Stegostoma tigrinum: one gene and its partners. The protein of the gene in region 3 purifies or fractionates together with the protein of the main gene of each other region. This does not show direct contact. Links are inferred from orthologs where the notes say so. Each region holds a gene or a part of one and is shown on either strand. Other genes may lie near its edges. The genes, in order: kif23, racgap1 and shcbp1.

Region 1 (7,498 bases), on a different chromosome or scaffold from region 3:
CAGGGCTCCAGTGACAAAGCAACACTATTGAATGAATCCCAGGCCAGCCTTAACGCTAATATCATAGTACTGCCACAGAAGTCAGTGGAGTGCAGCAACAGCATCATTTAGTAAAGAGGATATTTGGAACACAACATTAAGTTGCAAAACAATTAGAGGCACAGTTCAAAGAGGCAGTGTCAACTTTTGTTGTTATTTCTGGCTTAATTAGAAGCATTCACTTCTGAATCATAAGGCTCCAGGTTCACAATCCTACTTCCAGGACTTGAGTATAAAAATCCTGCCTGATACTCTGGTGCAGCTCTCACTGCTAGAGGTGAGAGATAATGGGAACTGCAGATGCTGGAGAATTCCAAGATAATAAAATGTGAGGCTGGATGAACACAGCAGGCCAAGCAGCATCTCAGGAGCACAAAAGCTGACGTTTCGGGCCTAGACCCTTCATCAGAGAGGGGGATGGGGTGAGGGAACTGGAATAAATAGGGGGAGAGGGGGAGGCGGACCGAAGATGGAGAGTAAAGAAGATAGGTGGAGAGAGTATAGGTGGGGAGGTAGGGAGGGGATAGGTCAGTCCAGGGAAGACGGACAGGTCAAGGAGGTGGGATGAGGTTAGTAGGTAGATGGGGGTGCGGCTTGGGGTGGGAGGAAGGGATGGGTGAGAGGAAGAACCGGTTAGGGAGGCAGAGACAGGTTGGACTGGTTTTGGGATGCGGGGCGGGGCAGGAGAGAGGGAGAGAGAGAGATGGGCTGGTTGTGTGGTGCAGTGGGGGGAGGGGACGAACTGGGCTGGTTTAGGGATGCAGTAGGGGAAGGGGAGATTTTGAAACTGGTGAAGTCCACATTGATACCATTAGGCTGCAGGGTTCCCAGGCGGAATATGAGTTGCTGTTCATGCAACCTTCGGGTGGCATCATTGTGGCACTGCAGGAGGCCCATGATGGACATGTCATCTAGAGAATGGGAGGGGGGAGTGGAAATGGTTTGCGACTGGAGGTGCAGTTGTTTGTTGCGAACTGAGCGGAGGTGTTCTGCAAAGCGGTCCCCAAGCCTCCGCTTGGTTTCCCCAATGTAGAGGATGCCGCACCGGGTACAGTGGATGCAGTATACCACATTGGCAGATGTGCAGGTGAACCTCTGCTTAATGTGGAATGTCATCTTGGGGCCTGGGATAGGGGTGAGGGAGGAGGCGTGGGGGCAAGTGTAGCATTTCCTGCGGTTGCAGGGGAAGGTGCCGGGTGTGGTGGGGTTGGAGGGCAGTGTGGAGCGAACAAGGGAGTCACGGAGAGAGTGGTCTCTCCGGAAAGCAGACCGGGGTGGGGATGGAAAAATGTCTTGGGTGGTGGGGTCGGATTGTAAATGGCGGAAGTGTCGGAGGATGATGCGTTGTATCCAGAGGTTGGTAGGGTGGTGTGTGAGAACGAGGGGGATTCTCTTTGGGCGGTTGTGGCGGGGGCAGGGTGTGAGGGATGTTTTGCGGGAAATACGGGAGACGCGGTCAAGGGCGTTCTCGATCACTGTGGGGGGAAAGTTGCGGTCCTTAAAGAACTTGGACATCTGGGATGTGCGGGAGTGGAATGTCTTATCGTGGGAGCAGATGCGGCGGAGGCGGAGGAATTGGGAATAGGGGATGGAATTTTTGCAGGAGGGTGGGTGGGAGGAGGTGTATTCTAGGTAGCTGTGGGAGTCGGTGGGCTGCTAGAGGTGCCCTTTTTTTGCACAAGAATAGATCAACTCCTCTTAGGCATACAGTGCTGCCAACAAAAGCCAATTTACTAGAAATAAGGTAACACATCAATAAGTCTGACCTATCACAGGACTCTAGCATTCTTTGCAAGACCATTGATTGCGTGGAGCTCAATTTAACATTTAGACCTACTGTCTTAAAATCTGATGAAAACATAGACTGTCTCATTTCACCTCTAGTTATCATGCCAGCTACCTTAGGTGGGCCAGGAAAAGTTTCTCATTATTTAATCTTTCAAAACATTTCAAACTGTGCTTTCCCTGGTACTTTTCATGTAAGCCTAACATCTTACCTAAAACAAGGCACCCAGAATGAAAAATATTCCAGTTGCTTTTAGACCCATTATTTCATACTTTGAATTTTATAATCTAAGGCTTGGAAATCCCTGCCTTAACCTCATTCTCTCCCCACATTAAAACATTCTTTGCTTAAAGCTACCTGTGATCAAGTGGACATCCAAACTCAATTCCTTGGAGGTTGTTAAAGCACAGTTTTGTCCAGTTAACATTTCTGTGAATCATCTTGGAATGACACTACATGCAAAATACGGCACAAATGCAAGTTACTATATCAGAACTAGTCCAGATTTTCCATGCTTTTAAAACAAAAGGAACCTGCAGGGTTTTTTTTTGTCAGCAGGGTGTGTGTGGAAGTGAAACACTCAGCTACGATTCAAAACAGAGGACACCAGGATGACACACACTGACGAACCTCGGGACAGATGAACACATTAAGAAGCTGCTAATATAAATGCAGGCTGTTGTTGCAGCTCAGAGATCCCAATTGTGACCATAGTCACAAATAAAAGCAATCCTTTAAAACAAGTAGAATTTTAAAAATATTTACCGAGTAGGTAAAAATATTTTTAAAAATCAGTAGAATAAAAATTGAAACATTACACATCAACAGTAAGAACGAGGTTAAGATGGTACAATTTGAAAACAAAAATCAATTAAAAGTCACATTTTTCATGATTTTTTTTTGCTTGGAAGTGGTCACCCCGGGGGCGAAATAAAATAGTTTCAAACTTTAAAGGAGCCATTCATGGAGACTGACAAAAGAAGAATAAAGTTGAAGAACGCGAGAGCTGGTTAGAAGTGCGTGATCTAAAATCAATCGATCGAGAGGAGTTTAACCTGACAATCTATACTCACGTTGTTTTCATCGTTAGTTTTTAATTATAACAGACAGCGGGGCAATACTCCTCCCGCAGCCGCTCCAGCTACAGCTCTGCCTCCGCGCCGACACCAACCGCCGTCAATTCAAATCCCGCGCCTTTCCCATTGGCCCGGGCTCTCCCCACCTCCCATTGGACAGGCTCCATCCTCCTGTCAATCAGGCCGCGGGTCCGGTGCGCACGCGCACTTGTTCCCTTCCCGTACATGGTCTGCCCAAGGGGAGGGGCCAGCCAAGCCCATGCGCATCGCTGCGAGGGGAACTCAGCGGACTTCATCGGCATGGCGGAATTTGCGCATGCGCGCCGCCACGGCTTGCAAGCCGAGGGAGCGAGCGAATGCGCACCGCAGCCGAGTGGGGACAGTTGAAGTTGGGGATGAAGGGTCTGGGCCCGAAACGACAGCTTTTGTGCTCCTGAGATGCTGCTGGGCCTGCTGTGTTCATCCAGCTGCACACTTTGTTATCTGGGGACAGTTGAAGCATGCGCACCGCTTTTGCGAGGGGAAGCTGGCGCATGCGTATTGCCACAGCGGAAAGCTGGCGCGTGCGTATTCCTAGCTGTCAATGTCACTAGTGTCAAGGTTTATCATTAACCTAGAGCTTGTTTGATTTCTCCATTGTTGCTCGGATCACGAAACTATAGTTATGAGAAAACTATAGACTGGAGGCTTGTGACCAGCAATGTGCTGGGATAATGGGAACTGGAGAATCCAAGATAATAAAATGTGAGGCTGGATGAACACAGCAGGCCCAGCAGCATCTCAGGAGCACAGAAGCTGACGTTTCGGGCCTAGACCCTTCATCAGAGAGGTCCAATGTACTGGGTCCACTGCTTTTTGTCATTTCTATAAATGATTCGAATGTGAACATAGGAGGTATGGTTAATGAGATTGAAGCTGTAGTGCACAGCGAAGGAGGTTACCTCAGAGTACAGTGGGACCTTGATCAGATGGGCCAATGGGCTGAGGACTGGCAAATGAACTTTAATTTAGATAAATGTGAGGTGCTACATTTTGGAAAGGCAGATCAGGGCAGGACTAATACAGTCATAGGGTATGGTGAAAAAGCAAGTAAGTGCTTCACTACGCCAGGAGGAGGAGGAATACCTCTTCCAAGTGTTCAAGGATAATAGATATTCAAAGAACTGGGTCAGGAGATGCCTATAGGAACAGCATCAGAAAGATTCTACATGCCCCGACACACTCATCACACTACCCCTACATGAGGAATACATCAGAACTCACCACAAGACTTCTACGACCACTGGGCATCAGAGTGGCACACAAACCTACATTAACCCTGTGACAAGTGCTCATCCAAACTAAAGATCCACTCCCCGCCATGGACAGGACCAATTTCATCTGCAAGATCCCCTGCAGAGACTACGAGAAACACTACATCAAACAAACAGGAAGGAAACTAACAGCAAGAATACATGAACACCAACTGGCTACAAAAAGACACAACCAATAATCACTCACCTTAATCCACATGGACAAGGAGAACCACGACTTTGACTGGGACAACACCAAGATCCTGGGACAGGCTAGGCAGAGACAAGCACGAGGATTCCTGGAAGCATGGCACTCCACGAAGCAGACTCTTAATAAACACATTGAACTCGACCCCGTATACATTCCACTATGAAGGAAAACTGGAAGTGAGGCAATCCATCTTACCGGACCCCAGAGTTTAAAAACCAGGCAGGAAAACACACCGATGCTTCATCGGAGGCTGCACTGAGGATGTTACCAAGCACTGTAACGAAACATCTGCGAAACATCAAACCAGCTCGGCGAGCCAACCAACCTCAACACACACAACCTGAGCTACAGATCTACTCTAAAACCTTAGAGCTACATGTATGTTTCTATATGCTTTGATTTGCCTGAGGTTTGTTTGGCCTGTCGCTTTCAAGGGAATGACGTTCCAGATTGCACTCAATTGGTATTAAGGACCATTCAAGTCATTGTGACATGATCAACTGCTTACAGTCTCTGCTCACACGTGCCCTCAAACAGATGCTGCTGGTATAGCAGCGTAATTCACGTAATGGGGATTTTTAAATAGAACGTAAAATACAGGAGCAGAAATAGGCCATTTAGCCTATCAAGTCTGCTCATCATTCAATGAGATTATAGCTGATCTGATGATTCTCAACTCTACTTTCTTGCTTTTTCACCACACCCTTACTGATTAAACATTTGTCTATCTCAGCCTTTAATATAATTATTTATATACCTTGACAATCCTCTATGGTAAACAATTCCACAGATTCTCTACTGTCTCAGAAAAGATATCCCTCCTTATCTCTGACTTAAATGTGTGACCCCTTATTCTTAACTGGACTATCCTACAAAACACTACCCTGCTATATAACAGCCGTAGCCAGGCTTTCTTAAATTCTGGTATTTAAGCAATATCTTTCATGACTTTGACATTCAAAAAGTGTTATATAAGGGAGGATTTTTAAAACTTTTATTACTGACCTAATTTAAGAAACATGACAACCATTTTGCACACAACAAGATTCCTCAGACAGCAATGCAATAATGATGAGATAATGTTCTTTCGGTGATGTTGATGTGAGAGCTGGGTATTGGCCAGGAGACCAGGGAAAACTCACTACTACTCCTCAAAACATGCCCATGGGATCTTTTATCTGATGCCCTTCTGAGGATCTCAGCTCAATGTTTCATCCAAAATCCTGCATCTCTGATGTGTAGCTCTCGCTCAGCATTGCACTGGAAGTGTCAGCCTGAATAATTTGTTCGAGTCTCTGCCATGTGCTTTAAAGCCATGACCTTCTGTCCCCAGGGAGAGTTGGAGCCAGTGTGGACATTTTGGAGGCAACTTGACACAGCCCCTGACTGGCATCCAGATTTGGAGACTCTTTGTGAAGGGAGAATAGGTTCAGGAGCTGCGTTATCCTTAAAATCGGTTTGAAGGTTCTGGGTATCAATTGGGAACCCACCGTTTACTTTCACTGTTATAACCTTTGCAAATTGCTGATGAGCCACTGCTCTGGGTAGAAGGAGACATGTTTGGGAGCAGAAGTAAGCCTTTCAAGGCTACATCATTCACTATATTCAAGGCTGAGATAGATTTTTATTCAGTGAAGAAATCAAGGGTTACGGGGTAAAGGTAGGAAAGTGGAGCCAAGGATTGTCATGTCAGCCATGATCTCATTCAAAGGAGGAGCAGACTCAATGGGCTGAATGGCCTATTTCTGCTCCATCTTATGGAATATTTGATATGGAATATGTGTTCTGAGGAAGGGGCACTGGAACCAAAGCATTAACTCTGATTTCTGTCAGAAGGTGCTGCCAGACCTGCTGAGCTCTTCCAGCAATTTTTTTGTCTACTTATGGAACATCGCCTTGCGCAAAGCCGAGCCCTGCCACAATGGGTGCCACAAAGCCAGGTAGAACGTGATTGACACCTGGCCCAGCAGGAGTGAGCTGGGTGTAATGATCACTCCCTGACTATAATATACTTGGTGCTCAAGGTGCCAGTGGCTTGTTTGTGTAGTGAGTAGGGAAATGAAGCCTGTGCTTGTTTCAATTCTGAGCACTTTTGATTTAAGTATAAAAGTTATTCATAAATTATGTTTGAAGGCTTATCTGTCTGTGCCAGCCTCAAAGTGATCAATGATAAGATGCTGGGCTCCAATGGGAATTGTGGTGGAGTAGCAGTGATTTACAGAAGGTTGTGAGATGGGAAGTGGATATGGACCATGAGGTGTGTAGTTGGTCCTTAACAAGTGATTGGGGTGGCAGTGTGCAATACAGTGTCTGCCATGCTGAATCTATGCTGTGAGAATTTGTCATTGTGCCGTTTGACAGTGAAGGACAATTCCAGACTGCCAATGCTTGACCAAATGTATGGCCAGAGTTCAAAGTACAAGAGCCAGTGATGCCTGACAACTCCCAGATTTTGGAAAACTGCATTCAATTCTGATCTCCCTGCTATAGGAAACATGTTATTAGGAAAGATCCCCAGCCTCTGGCGGTGATTCCCAGCCCCCTGCAGCGATTCCCCTCTGGTGATGATTCCCAGCCTCTAGTGTTGGTTCCCAGTCTCAAGCGGCAATTCCCAGCCTCCAGTAATGATTACCAGTGTCCGGTGATGATTCCAGGCCTTAAGCAACAACTCCTGGCCTGGCACAATGGCCTGCCACAGCAGCCTCCAGGCATGGCATGGCAATCTCCCAGCCTGGCACAGTGGCTTCTTCCCATAGAAACATCATTCCATGGTGTGGGGAACTTCCAGCCTCCTGCATTGGCCTCCTCTTGTAGGGGCCTCCCAGTATGGTGTGGTGACGTTGCAATTCTGGGACAGTGGCCTCTTGGCATGGCGTGTCACTGCTGCAGGTTGGAGCCAGGGCCCCTTGTGGACTGGAAGCAAAGTGTCAGCGTGGTCTGCTGTACTGAACTCTTTTCTGTAATGCTGGATGTTTTACTTCTGTATTGTCTAAAATCTTGTAACTAAAGAAGCTGTGCCGAGGTAGTTTTGTCAGAAATCATACGACACCAGGTTATAGTCCAACAGGTTTATTTGAAATCACAAGCTTCCGAA
Region 2 (7,495 bases), on a different chromosome or scaffold from region 3:
TGCTGCTCTCTCTTCAAGTTTCCCAGGTCTAGCTGCTTTAAAAAGGGCTATTCTTCATGTCAGACTTGTTCACCGGTATTAATGGTTAGACACAAAGTAGCACATAGTGAACAGATCCACTCAAACCACCAGGACTCAAGAAATTTGAGGGGGAGAAACTTGAGCAGTGTGGATTATAATTGATACTGAGACAAAGCGGAATGAGATTGAAATGCTTACAAAACTGACACATTGAAAAATGAGAGATCAGCTTGAGGCAGAACATATACATGATGTGGGGGGGGGGGTGGTGATGGGAGGTATAGAGAAGATAATAGATTCAACACAAAAGCTCAACAGTGAGTGAAAATGCACATACATTAACTATTGAATCAATATACAAAGCACAGTGGAATCACAGGCAGACAAATTATTAATATTTAATATAATTTAATACAAAGTCAGTGGTTCTCTTAGTCCCATTGGGTAAAGTCAAAAAGAGTCAGCATATTGTACTGGCAGAAATACAAACAATTGAATCTTTGTGCTTGAAAATTAATGAATTACTTTGGTAGTCCAAATATTTTGGTTGATCTGCAAAGCTTCATGATGCAGTTTTACAGCTCACCAAGCCAGCTTTGGTATCCTATCTCCCAGTTTTATACAAATATACTGAAAACTAAAATTCAAAGTATCTCACAGAAATCTAGATGAATAACATCACTGATCATGGCCATACCCCAACATTAGCAAAGCTAAAAATGCTTACGAGGTTCAATTCCTTCATTCAGTACTTCCATCTGTCTGAGCAACTGCTCGAACATGTTGCGTAGAGTGACCATGGCAGATTCCATTTTCCTATAAAAGAGATTAATGCATAAGAAAAGCAAGGGAACTACAAGTGACAGCTTCCACACATCTCTGTTTTAAACCAAGATTCTTGGTGCAATATTGTCTTGCAATATTCACACACTGGACTTGTATGGGGAGAAAAACCAGGAGAAGATTCAAATTACTCCAAAATGTAATTTTCAACCAACTCAATTTTAGTCCTACAGTTACTTCAGGTGAGGGTCAATGTTCTGCCCACACCGATATCTGCTAGGAATGAACAGTTGGCTCAAAGTCACAAAAAAGGTATCGTGTGCATGTTTGCAGGAATAAACCTACCGATGATGCTTTAAAACAAAAATCATAAAATGGCCATCAGCCCAAAGATGGAGATCAGGCTCGTCACCAGCTCAATTTCAAAAATCCCAGCTCAGTATTAATTCACAGCAAAAGACAAGAGCTGAAGGGTTTTTAAAGAAACACAGTAGCACAATGCCAACAATCACTCAACAGCACAAAATTTACTATTAATATTTACTTCGTGGAAATTCTGAGCATGTCATGATTTTACCAGTCAGTGTTAAAGACAGCTTGATGCAAATAGTGACAAAAACAATACTTTATTAAACTAAATCATGTCCAATTATAACTGATAACAGTTTAAGGACTAAAATTTCCATGGAATTTAAATGAAGCAACTAAAACAAACTGAAGAATCTCAGTGACATATCGCAGCCAAAAGGCCTCCAGCAATATAAAAACAGTGCTGCAGCAGCAGCTCCTTGATTTCGAAGTCATTCCACAGAGATTTTTGACAATAATATTTGTTCCAAAAATAACTGCATTCGCAAGAGATTGCTTAAACAACCCTCAAATTTGATGAGGCAGTCACATTAAGTATTGCAGACCTATTAAGTGTTTAAAATCCAAGTTCTAACGACACAATGTGTTGCAACTTATAGCATTAACAGATGGGGAAACCATTCACTTCAAAGTACTAAAATTTCTGTTTTTGAATCTTGCGCCTCTCCAACTCAAATTGAACAAAAACTTTATAAAAAGCTATTGCTGAAGCAATAAATGCTGATATCTAACTACATCCCATTCAAGTACACAGAGCACTCTATGCAAGACCAGAAATGTACAGCATCAGGATTGCAGTGAGGGGGTTAAAAATCAGTGCTATGAATTGAAATTACTTCATTGAAGCTACAAGAGTGAACCACATAACATTAAAGTTAACACATTACACTTTCTCTGGGTGGAAAGAAAGTCTTTCCATTTCTCAACCCAGTCAGCATTTCTTGCCTGCAGATCCATCAACACACAAGGTTGACAGCTATATTACTGCAATTAACAAAACAATTAGTAGCACTCTTGGTTTCAATTCCCACATCAGAGAATTGAATACCAAGATCTAAACTGGTACTCCCAATGCAGTGCTGCACTGTCAGAGAAGTGCTGTCTTTTGGATGAGACATTAAACTGGTGTGGATGCAACATAATAATGTGTAGAGCTGGATGAACACAGCAGGTCAAGCAGCATCTTAGGAGCAGGAAAGCTGACATTTCAGGCCTAGACCCATTTCTGATGAAGGATCGAGGCTCAAAACGTCAGTTTTCCTGTTCCTCTGATGCTGTTTGGCCTGCTGTGTTCATCCAGCTCTACACCTTGTTATCTCAGATTCTCCAGCATCTGCAGTTCTTATTAGCTTGGTTGCATGACGATCCTGAGGCACTCTGTGACCGAACTGGGAAGTCCTCTGGTGTCCTGGCAAATATTTGTACCTCAAACTAACATAACAAAAGACAATTATCTGGGTTCATTTCCACATTTCTGTTTGCGGGAGATTGCTGTGTGCAATTTAGCCGCAGTGTTTCCTATACTACAGCAGTAATTACGGTTGAAAACGTTCATTCTTTACTGTGAAGCACTTTAGGACATTCTACAGATGGGGAAGGCGAGAGAAATACCTGGCTTTATCAAGTAGCCAATGGCCTAGTGCTATACAGACATTTTTAATACACTCGAGGGCCCAGCACATATCTCGATCACCACAAAGGGCTCGCCTTTTCTCTGATCGCGGAGATCCTGGAAGGAGACGAACGACACTTCCCGCTTTTCCACGGGGCCCAGGAGCCCGACTACCATCGCCCACCCAACTTAAAATCAACAACATCCCGCTATCGGGGGAACGGCACCGATCTCAAGAGGGGAGAGCAAAAACAATCTCTAGATTCCCGACCCATTTTCCCCCAGGAGCCCTTACCGCTTTGTCCGCCGCTCTCCACCTGGTTCCGGCTCCGTTACTCCAGACGTTTTCGCGGCCTGATTTCAAATTTGCTTCAACCGCCAATCAGGATACGGTCTCCTGACGTGCCACGTACGCCCCAATGACGCAATCACGCATCGAAGGTATTGAGATAATAAAATGTGAGGCTGGATGAACACAGCAGGCCAAGCAGCATCTCAGGAGCACAAAAGCTGACGTTTCGGGCCTAGACCCTTCATCAGAGAGGGGGATGGGGGGAGGGAACTGGAATAAATAGGGAGAGAGGGGGAGGCGGACCGAAGATGGAGAGTAAAGAAGATAGGTGGAGAGAGTGTAGGTGGGGAGGTAGGGAGGGGATAGGTCAGTCCAGGGAAGACGGACAGGTCAAGGAGGTGGGATGAGGTTAGTAGGTAGCTGGGGGTGCGGCTTGGGGTGGGAGGAAGGGATGGGTGAGAGGAAGAACAGGTTAGGGAGGCAGAGACAGGTTGGACTGGTTTTGGGATGCAGTGGGTGGGGGGGAAGAGCTGGGCTGGTTGTGTGGTGAAGTGGGGGGAGGGGACGAACTGGGCTGATTTAGGGATGCGGTGGGGGAAGGGGAGATTTTGAAGCTGGTGAAGTCCACATTGATACCATATGGCTGCAGGGTTCCCAGGCGGAATATGAGTTGCTGTTCCTGCAACCTTCGGGTGGCATCATTGTGGCACTGCAGGAGGCCCATGATGGACATGTCATCTAGAGAATGGGAGGGGGAGTGGAAATGGTTTGCGACTGGGAGGTGCAGTTGTTTGTTGCGAACTGAGCGGAGGTGTTCTGCAAAGCAGTCCCCAAGCCTCCGCTTGGTTTCCCCAATGTAGAGGAAGCCGCACCGGGTACAGTGGATGCAGTATACCACATTGGCAGATGTGCAGGTGAACCTCTGCTTGATGTGGAATGTCATCTTGGTGCCTGGGATAGGGGTGAGGGAGGAGGTGTGGGGACAAGTGTGGCATTTCCTGCGGTTGCAGGGGAAGGTGCCGGGTGTGGTGGGGTTGGAGGGCAGTGTGGAGCGAACAAGGGAGTCACGGAGAGAGTGGTCTCTCCGGAAAGCAGACAGGGGAGGGGATGGAAAATTGTCTTGGGTGGTGGGGTCGGATTGTAAATGGCAGAAGTGTCGGAGGATAATGCGTTGTATCCGGAGGTTGGTAGGGTGGTGTGTGAGAACGAGGGGGATCCTCTTGGGGCGGTTGTGGCGGGGGCGGGGTGTGAGGGATGTGTCGCGGGAAATGTGGGAGACGCGGTCAAGGGCGTTCTCGATCACCGTGGGGGGAAAGTTGCGGTCCTTAAAGAACTTGGACATCTGGGATGTGCGGGAGTGGAATGTCTTGTCGTGGGAGCAGATGCGGCGGAGGCGGAGGAATTGGGAATAGGGGATGGAATTTTTGCAGGAGGGTGGGTGGGAGGAGGTGTATTCTAGGTAGCTGTGTGAGTCGGTGGGCTTGAAATGGACATCAGTTACAAGCTGGTTGCCTGAGTTGGAGACTGAGAGGTCCAGGAAGGTGAGGGATGTGCTGGAGATGGCCCAGGTGAGCTGAAGGTTGGGTTGGAAGGTGTTGGTGAAGTGGATGAACTGTTCGAGCTCCTCTGGGGAGCAAGAGGCGGCGCCGTTACAGTCATCAATGTACCGGAGGAAGAGGTGGGGTTTGGGGCCTGTGTAGGTGCGGAAGAGGGACTGTTCCACGTAACCTACAAAGAGGCAGGCATAGCTGGGGCCCATGCGGGTGCCCATGGCCACCCCCTTAGTCTGTAGGAAGTGGGAGGAGTCAAAAGAGAAGTTGTTGAGTGTGAGGACGAGTTCAGCTAGGCGGATGAGAGTGTCGGTGGAGGATTGATGACTGTATCGGCGCCGCCTCTTGCTCCCCAGAGGAGCTCGAACAGTTCATCCACTTCACCAACACCTTCCAACCCAACCTTCAGTTCACCTGGGCCATCTCCAGCACATCCCTCACCTTCCTGGACCTCTCAGTCTCCATCTCAGGCAACCAGCTTGTAACTGATGTCCATTTCAAGCCCACCGACTCCCACAGCTACCTAGAATACACCTCCTCCCACCCACCCTCCTGCAAAAATTCCATCCCCTATTCCCAATTCCTCCGCCTCCGCCGCATCTGCTCCCACGACAAGACATTCCACTCCCGCACATCCCAGATGTCCAAGTTCTTTAAGGACCGCAACTTTCCCCCCACGGTGATCGAGAACGCCCTTGACCGCGTCTCCCACATTTCCCGCGACACATCCCTCACACCCCGCCCCCGCCACAACCGCCTCAAGAGGATCCCCCTCGTTCTCACACACCACCCTACCAACCTCTGGATACAACGCATTATCCTCCGACACTTCCGCCATTTACAATCCGACCCCACCACCCAAGACATTTTTCCATCCCCTCCCCTGTCTGCTTTCCGGAGAGACCACTCTCTCCGTGACTCCCTTGTTCGCTCCACACTGCCCTCCAACCCCACCACACCCGGCACCTTCCCCTGCAACCGCAGGAAATGCCACACTTGTCCCCACACCTCCTCCCTCACCCCCATCCCAGGCCCCAAGATGACATTCCACATCAAGCAGAGGTTCACCTGCACATCTGCCAATGTGGTATACTGCATCCACTGTACCCGGTGCGGCTTCCTCTACATTGGGGAAACCAAGCGGAGGCTTGGGGACCGCTTTGCAGAACACCTCCGCTCAGTTCGCAAAAAACAACTGCACCTCCCAGTCGCAAACCATTTCCACTCCCCCTCCCATTCTCTTGATGACATGTCCATCATGGGCCTCCTGCACTGCCACAATGATGCCACCCGAAGGTTGCAGGAACAGCAACTCATATTCCGCCTGGGAACCCTGCAGCCATATGGTATCAATGTGGACTTCACCAGCTTCAAAATCTCCCCTTCCCCGACTGCATCCCTCAACCAGCCCAGTTCGTCCCCTCCCCCCACTGCACCACACAACCAGCCCAGCTCTTCCCCCCCACCCATTGCATCCCAAAACCAGTCCAACCTGTCTCTGCCTCCCTAACCGGTTCTTCCTCTCACCCATCCCTTCCTCCCACCCCAAGCCGCACCCCCCGCTACCTACTAACCTCATCCCACCTCCTTGACCTGTCCGTCTTCCCTGGACTGACCTATCCCCTCCCTACCTCCCCACCTACACTCTCTCCACCTATCTTCTTTACTCTCCATCTTCGGTCCGCCTCCCCCTCTCTCCCTATTTATTCCAGTTCCCTCCCCCCATCCCCCTCTCTGATGAAGGGTCTAGGCCCGAAACGTCAGCTTTTGTGCTCCTGAGACGCTGCTTGGCCTGCTGTGTTCGTCCAGCCTCACATTTTATTATCTTGGAATCTCCAGCATCTGCAGTTCCCATCATCTCGAAGGTATTGAGGGCGGGGGTGGGATCGCTCCCGTCTCCTTGCAAAGAAGTCGATTCCCTCATTGGCCGATTGGAAATGTTCTAGTCATGTCACCCTGCTGGCTTGGTTCGACTTGTCTTATCTCACCTACCCAATGAAAAGGGGCACAAACCTTAAAGATTTTAACCAGACAGTCGAGAAAGGTTTGACAATAATTTGTTACTGTTGTATCATGGCTACCATTTCTTTATGCAACTTGGATCTAGATTGGCAACCTTTGTATATCCATAATTAGCTGGAACATTAGGCTGAGGCAGGAACGAAGTTGGTCATCTGCAGCTAAAACCTTCACCCGTGCCTTTATTATCTCTCGACACAACTGCATTCTGGCTGGTCTGACTCATATTCGGATAATATTCCTGTCGTTAGCTTTCCTGATGTGGAGATGCTGGTGTTGAACTATAACCTGTTAGCTTTCTTGACATTAGCGATGGGCTTCCATATAAGAGCAGGAGTCTTTTCTAAGTAAAGGATAGCTTGCTTTCTCACCTACACTCCGCTCATGGTATGCTTTATCATAGCAAGATAAAGCACGAATAAGCCGTCTCAGACCCCGATGCCTACTCATGGCTTAGCATCTACAATAATGCCAGATACTTGAATTATACTCCTCCCATGATATCATTAGTAATTAAAAATCATCTCGCTCCTAAACGATTTGCTTTTTATTCTGAGACAACCTTCTCTGGTTCTAGACCCCACAGCCAGGGGAAACGGCGTCTCTGTATGTAATCTTTCTATCTCTTTTAATAATTTTGTAGATTTGTGAGATTGCCTCATTCTTCTAAACTCCCGAGTACGCAGGTTCAGTCTCCTCAATTTCTTCTCAAAGGCAAGTCCCACTATCCTAGATAACAAAGTGTAGAGCTGGATGAACACAGCAGGCCAAGCAGCATCTTAGGAGCACAAAAACTCGTTTCGGGCCTAGACCCTTCATCAGAAAAGGGGGAGGGGGAGAGGGGGAGGC
Region 3 (6,973 bases):
TGTACTAAATGCTGATATACAATGAGCACTAGGGCGCAGTAACAGAAAATGGGCCGCAACTGGGCTGAAGAAAGGTAAAACTTTAGACCCATCAGATTAGGAGGACTGAATTTCTCAAACACATCTTACTTCACATTGCCTGTGGTCCCCAGAGTCGAATACCTTGCAATGAAGGAACTACAATCCATGAGATCCTTATTGCTCAACACTTCCTCCCTTTCTACAGCAGCTTTTGTACTGTGGACAAAGAGCCAGGACACTGAATGATTTACGTAACGTGGCATTCTGAAAGACTCCACCAAATCAATCAAGGCATCTGAACTACTTCTTTAGAAGTCCTTTTGATGTTCTCTCCAGTTACCCCACAGTTTGTTGTACTTTCCCTCAGCAATAGATGTGCGATTCCACATCTGAGTAAGTAGCTATGTCCCAGTATCCATTCTTGAAGGCATGCAGGGACCAGATAAGCTGTGACACCTGGAGCTGCTGAAGCATGTAGGTCTTACTTCCCAAGAAATATCCACACATCAAAAGGATCCTTTCATAGTGATCACAGTTTTACAATCAAGACGCTGGAAGCCTTCATGTTAAAAAGGCAGCTTGCTGCTCGGCGAGCACCTTGAGGGTCATCTGCACACAGTCACTCAAATTGTGCAACTGGAGGTATCCAGCAATGAGTCTATCAGCTTGAATGTCTGGACTGGTGTGGAAGCAGTGGTCTCAAAAGTGTTTTGGTGACCATCTTGATGCATTGATGCAGTTTAGACGGCAAGATCTTACACCAATCTCCTGTTGATAACTGGAATGACCTGGTAACACAGAAGTTAAATGCCATTGTGATCGTCAGCACCACTGACAGGTAGTTCCAATTCCGACAGGCACAAGCTTACCATACAGGTTGCGACACCAGCAACAGCCTCCCCGAAGTGGCACAATCTGCAGAGGCACTGGTTCTCCAACATCCAAACATAATTAAGCCACAGATGGTAGACCTTTTTGAAGCTGTAGCCTCTTCTTTACACAGAAGGCTGTGTGTGTGGGGTCCTCTGCACTTTTCTGTTTATTGGCCTGATGACGGCACCCTGCCACCTCTGCTTTAACGTCTCACTCTACTTCACCTCTTCAAGAAGGGCTCCAAATCCTTAGAGGGGGGCAATGGAGGTGGTCAGTCAGCTTACAATGACATTTTCCCCACCAACATATTTTTCTGTTCTAGTGCCAAGGGCCTGATGGAATGCCTCCACAATTCTGGGTCCTTTTCCTCTTCTTGGCTTTATATGCTACTGCTCTTGCTGCTCCAACCACTCTGTTACACCATGCTCGCTCTTGCAATGACTGCAAGATGAAACCTGTGCCAAATTCCTACTAGCTTGTTACTTCCTTTTATCAGATGTCACTTTGAAGCCTCTATGTACTGTTACTAAACTGCCAGTGGAAAATCATTCTGCCATCTCTAGCCTGGCTTGTATCCCTGTGCATGTATTAATTCTATTACCAAAGCTAAATATTTTTGAGCGTCTGCATTTTCTAAACTTCTCATTTTCAAGATCTGGATTTATGTTACAATATCACTATCATTCTATTCTACTTATAGCAATATATAATTATATTTAGAAACATTATTTTTTAAAAAAAACTAACCCAAGATGTAATCCTGGTAGGCCCTGTATCGCTCATAATAGGTGAGGTGAGTTGTCTCAATAACTTCCGGAAATTTGGTTGCTCCGGGATTCAACAAATTCTCCTTTTCAGGGCTGTCATGACTGCCCTTAATTTCCACTTGATCTTGAAATACAGTCAGATATAAAATGAATAACATTTGTTGTCAAGCACAATTCCTACACAATTCAAACAGAAGCCCTGATAACAAAGTGTGGAGCTGGATGAACACAGCAGGCCAAGCACCATCTTAGAAGCATATGTTCCTAAGATGCTGCTTGGCCAGCTGTCTTCATCCAGCTCCACAATTTGTTGTCTTGGATTCTCCAGCATTTGCAGTTCCCATTATCTCAAATAGAAGCCCTGTTTAGCTAGTTTCAGTTTTAAATACAATATTACGATATGGTTGTTCTCATGGTATTTAGCTACAGAATTTGCAACAAATCAGGTAGTGCATAAGAGATAACAAAGTGTGGAGCTGGATGAACACAGCAGGCCAAGCAGCATCTTAGGAGCACAAAAGCTGACGTTTCAGGCCTAGACCCTTCTTAGTGCATAAGAGTTACTTTGAAGAATAGCTGATTGAACCTTACAAGATCAACTAGCAAAATACTGCAGACCATAATTCACAAGTTTGAGCTGGTGAGGGCTTTCAAGAACAGAACAATATTTGAAAAAAATCATCAAAATACACAATTGTTTATAAAGAGTGTAAAGCATTATATGTAACATTCCTACAGTTATTATTGCAAAAAATATGGTTTCCTTGAGCTACAGAACTGCGCCATTGAGCTATTGACAGTTCAAATCCTGTCAGACAAGTTGTGAACTTGAATTTTTAAAATATGGTAGTTTAGAGGCTAGCACCATATAACGAGCACGAAACTTACAGGGTTTGTAACTGTCTAATTTGTTGATAGAAGCCTTCAGGCTGGGGAACCTGAACCCTGACCCAACCCTGCTAGACACCATTACACCGTCAATGCACACATTTTACTCTTTAGGATGTCAAGGGATGGGAATAAATACATTCACTTCAATATCCCAAGGAACAAATATAACAAGAAAACACCAAGGGACGGAGAATAGGGCAGCTGTGCCCTCCTCCCGGTGCAGAGAGCCCGGGTCGGGGGTGTCGAGGTCTACTCCTCCCGCCCTCACCTTCTCCGGGTACCGTCGGATCCGCCAGCGCCACCACTATTGCTGCCTCGACCATTCCGTGTATCGAGCCTAACTCCCCGAGGCCGAGGCCGATGCCGATGCCGATAGTAACCGCAGGCCTAGTCTCCTCTGACAGTTACAACGAGCTCCCAATTCAAATTCTGCCGCTTGTTTTTCTTAATTGGTTGTGCTGGCGGCAAGAGCGGCAGCTGACCGAGAGTATCAACACAGTGTCCCGTGCGGCCAGGAAGAGTATCAGCAGGCTGCAAACTGGAGAAGCGATCGCAACCTCAAAGCCAGAAGGTGTGACAGCGCCTCCACGGCAAGGAGGAGTGACAGCATCCCAAAAGCCGGGAGGAGTGACAGCCCATGCCCAGGCATCCAGTCAGAAGTGACAGAAAGTCATGGAGTACAACAAAGTAAGTGACACTTACTAGTGTAAGATCGAATAGATTAACTCTTCTCCCTCCAATTTAAAAGAATGCAATATGAACTCATTAAATTATATAATATTTCAAAGGGGTTTGATGCTGAGATGATATTTTTCTGGCTTTGACGTCTCAGTCTGGAACTGAGATTTGGAGTCTCAGAATAAAGTAGCAGCAATTGATGAGAATTTTTCCACTCAGAGTTAAGAATCTTAGGAATTCGAGAGATTTGAGTACCAAGCGTTCAGTAAATAAAGAATTTTCTTTTAAATACTGGGGGAATTAAGAGAGATGGGGTCAGTGTGGGACACTACAATCAGACATGAAAATCAGCCAGGATCTTTATGAATGGCAAAACAGGCAAAAGGAATCAAAAGGCACATTCCAGTTTTTTTTAATGTCCTGAGAACAATTGTGTTTGAACACCATTATTTCTAAGTTGACCTCAGAGTCACATGTCCTTCTGATTTTGTATATCACCATTTCTCATTGCGGCTGGGCCAATATCCTAGAAATTCTTATTTCAGAGCATAGTGGAGACATTACAGGACTTGAAAGATAAGGCAAACCACCACATTTCAAGAACAAAAAATAATGGAAAATAAACTCTGCCACAGTGTCAACTATATCCAAAGACTTTTTTTTAAAAAAAAGGAGTCTTCATTTTATATCTTCTGCAGTTTCAGTAGGTTTTATGTTGCCTTTTCAACTTACAGTTTCTTTGAGCAAAACAATGCCATGATCACACAAGGTGAAGGACACGTATTTTGCAAATTCCATATACATACACAATATTAAAAAACACTTCTAATTATCAATATATGGGTAAGTTGTAGAGTCGTAGTGTCATACAGCTTGGAAATAGGCCTTTCAGTCCAACTTGTCCATGCCAACCAAGTTTCCCAAATTAAACTGATCTCACTTGCCTGCATTCGGCCCATATCCCTCTCGGCCCGAAACAACAGCTTTCCTGTTCCTCTGATGCTGCTTGGCCTGCAATGTTCATGCAGTTCTACACCTTGTCATCCCTCCAAACCATTCCTATTTATGTACTTATCCAAATGTCTTTTAACTAGTAACTCTACCTGCATCCACCACTTTCTCTGGCAGTTCGTTTCACAAACTACTCTGTGTAAAAAATGTCACCCTCATTTTCTTTTTAAATCCTTCTCCTCTTTCCTGAAAAATACACCCCTGGTTTTGAATTCCCCCATTGTAGGGAAAAGACACTTTCTACATACTTTTTCTACACCCTTCATGATTTTATAAACTTCAATAAGGTCACCCCTCAATCCCCAATGCTCCAGTGAAAAATGTCCTAGCCTATCTTTATAACTCAAATCTTCCATTCCCAGTGCCACAAACCATTTACAAAATATAAAAGTTAGTTTGAAAATGACACATGTATCCATTAATCTCTGTGCTCACAAAAACTAACATTTTTGAGTGAAAATTACTTATCCTAAGGATATACCTACATTGAGTTTGTAGACTTGCTTGCCGAGCCAGCGTGTTTGATTGCAAACGTTTTGTCACCCTGCTAGGTAACATCATCAGTGCACCTCTGATGAAGCATTGGTGTTCCGTCCCACTTGTTATTTATGTGCCTCAGTTTGCTGGGCTGTTTGGCTTCACTTCTGGTTCTGTTTTTCAGTGGTTTGTATATCAGGTTCAGTTCAATGTGTTTGTTGCTGGAGTTCTGGTTGGAATACCAGGCCTCCAGGAATTTCCTGGCATGTCTCTGTTTATCATGTGCTACTATTGATGTGTTGTCCCAGTTGAATTCATGTCCTTCTTTGTCCACGTGTATTCGGGCCAATGAGAATTGGTCGTGTCTCTTGGTGACTCATTGGTGTTCATGTATCCTTATTGTCAGTTTCCTTCCAGTTTGGCCTATGTAATGTTTCTCTAGTCCTTGGAGAGTATTTTGTATTATATTAGTTTCAATGGTTTCGGGTAAGGGATCCTTTACGTTGCTGGGGTGTCGCAGGGTGGTTGTTGGTTTGTGGGCTACCTGATACCTAGGGGTCTGAGAAGTCTTATGGTCATCTCTGACATGTCCCTGATGTACACTAGGGTGACAAGTGTGTCTGGCCATGTTGTGTCCTTTTGTTGTGATCATCCGTGGAGGTAATAGCGAGTTGTACTTTTTGGATATCCATTCTTTTTAAAAACTCCGTATAAGTGCCCTGTTCCAATTTGTGCAATTCCAGGTTGCTACAGTGTGTTGTGGCTTATTTGAATAATGTCCTGATGCAACTCCGTTTGAGTGTTGGAGTCGTTGTAATTAGGTATCTGGTCTGTATGTGTGGTCTTTCTTTATACAAGTCACAATCCACCATTATCTCCGCAGCAGACTACAACAAGGAGACACAACACGACCGAACACACTAGTCACCCTACCATGCATCAGGGGCATATCAGTGATGACCACAAGACTACTCATACCCCTAGATATCAGAGCAGCCAGCAAATCAATAACCACCCTGCGACAGCTTCTGATGAACGAAAAGGATCCCATACCCACAACTATTAGAACTGATGTAATATACAGAATACCATGCAACGACTGTGAGAAACACTACATGTGCCACACTGGAAGAAAACTGACAATAAGGATACACTAGCATCAACTAGCTACTAACAGACACAACCAATTCTCACTGGTCTCAATACACACAGACAAAGAACACAGATTCAACTGGGACAACACATTGATAACAGTACAAGCCGAACAGAGATATGCTGGAGAATTCCTGGAGGCTTGGCATTCCAACTGGAACACCATCAACAAACACATTGAACTGGATCCAATTTATAAACTACTGAAAAACAGAACCAGAAGTGATGCCAACCATCTTAGCAAACCTATGAATAACAAGCAGGACAGAACACCAATGCTTCACCAGAGGTGCACTGACGATGTTACCTAGTAGGGTGACGAAATGTCTGCAATCAAATACACCAAGACTTGGTGAGCAAGTCTACAACCTCATCCACAACCCGAGCTACAAATCTCAAATACTTTAGACCATTATTGGTTGAGAAGATGATGATTGGATCAAATGTCTCTGCGTTAGTGCCTCAAAGGGGAACAATCGTAGTCTCAAAAGAAGTGATTGGAGAAGTACTAACAGAATTAGGAATGTAAATCTGGGCAGCCACCATTTATACATGGGCTAAACTTATTACTGTCTTTGTATTTTAAATAGGTGGATTATTCCAACCTCCAGCTCAGACAACAGCTGGACCTTCAAACTGAAATGTGTCTAAAATAAAGCTCATAAAACAGGTCAATGTATTGTTTCCTGATGAATCCATGATGGTAAAAGCAAATCAGATTATGCTTTGGATAGTATTTCCAAAGTTCTGGGAGGCAGTTTTATATTTGTTGAACTAATGAATCATAGAAATTTATGGCACAGAAGAAAATCATTCAGCCCATCATGTTTGTGCCAGAAAAAGTACTGTCAAGGCTACTCTCAGATACCAACTGTGAGTACATATCCACATACTCTTTAAATACAACGAGAGTTTCTGCCTCTACCACCCTTTCTTGAAAATTAGTTCCAGACACCCATCATCCTCTGATCAAAAAGATTTCTCCTCAACTTCCTCTAATCTTCTCATGAATTACTTTAAGCTATCCCCCCACAAGATATTGACCTCTCTGGTAAATGACTGTCCAGGCTTTACGGGACCCTCATAATTTTATAAACCTCAAT

The links.
Region 1: the proteins of shcbp1 (region 3) and kif23 purify together in Homo sapiens (affinity purification with western blotting; 9 studies listed by BioGRID and IntAct, with this or other methods). This does not show direct contact. The link is inferred for Stegostoma tigrinum from reciprocal best matches to the Homo sapiens genes SHCBP1 and KIF23.
Region 2: the proteins of shcbp1 (region 3) and racgap1 purify together in Homo sapiens (affinity purification with mass spectrometry; 8 studies listed by BioGRID and IntAct, counting the BioPlex papers as one, with this or other methods). This does not show direct contact. The link is inferred for Stegostoma tigrinum from reciprocal best matches to the Homo sapiens genes SHCBP1 and RACGAP1.

What each region holds. Positions count from the first base shown.
Region 1 is NC_081386.1:31,623,460-31,630,957, reverse strand, and holds the start of kif23 (kinesin-like protein KIF23), read right to left. Parts: upstream 3,008-7,498; 5' UTR 2,910-3,007; coding exon 2,899-2,909; intron 1-2,898.
Region 2 is NC_081404.1:14,134,203-14,141,697, forward strand, and holds the start of racgap1 (rac GTPase-activating protein 1), read right to left. Parts: upstream 3,002-7,495; 5' UTR 2,991-3,001; coding exon 2,785-2,990; intron 838-2,784; coding exon 749-837; intron 1-748.
Region 3 is NC_081369.1:30,843,481-30,850,453, reverse strand, and holds the start of shcbp1 (SHC SH2 domain-binding protein 1), read right to left. Parts: upstream 3,003-6,973; 5' UTR 2,876-3,002; coding exon 2,821-2,875; intron 1,786-2,820; coding exon 1,642-1,785; intron 1-1,641. UniProt on the Homo sapiens protein: May play a role in signaling pathways governing cellular proliferation, cell growth and differentiation. May be a component of a novel signaling pathway downstream of Shc. Acts as a positive regulator of FGF signaling in neural progenitor cells.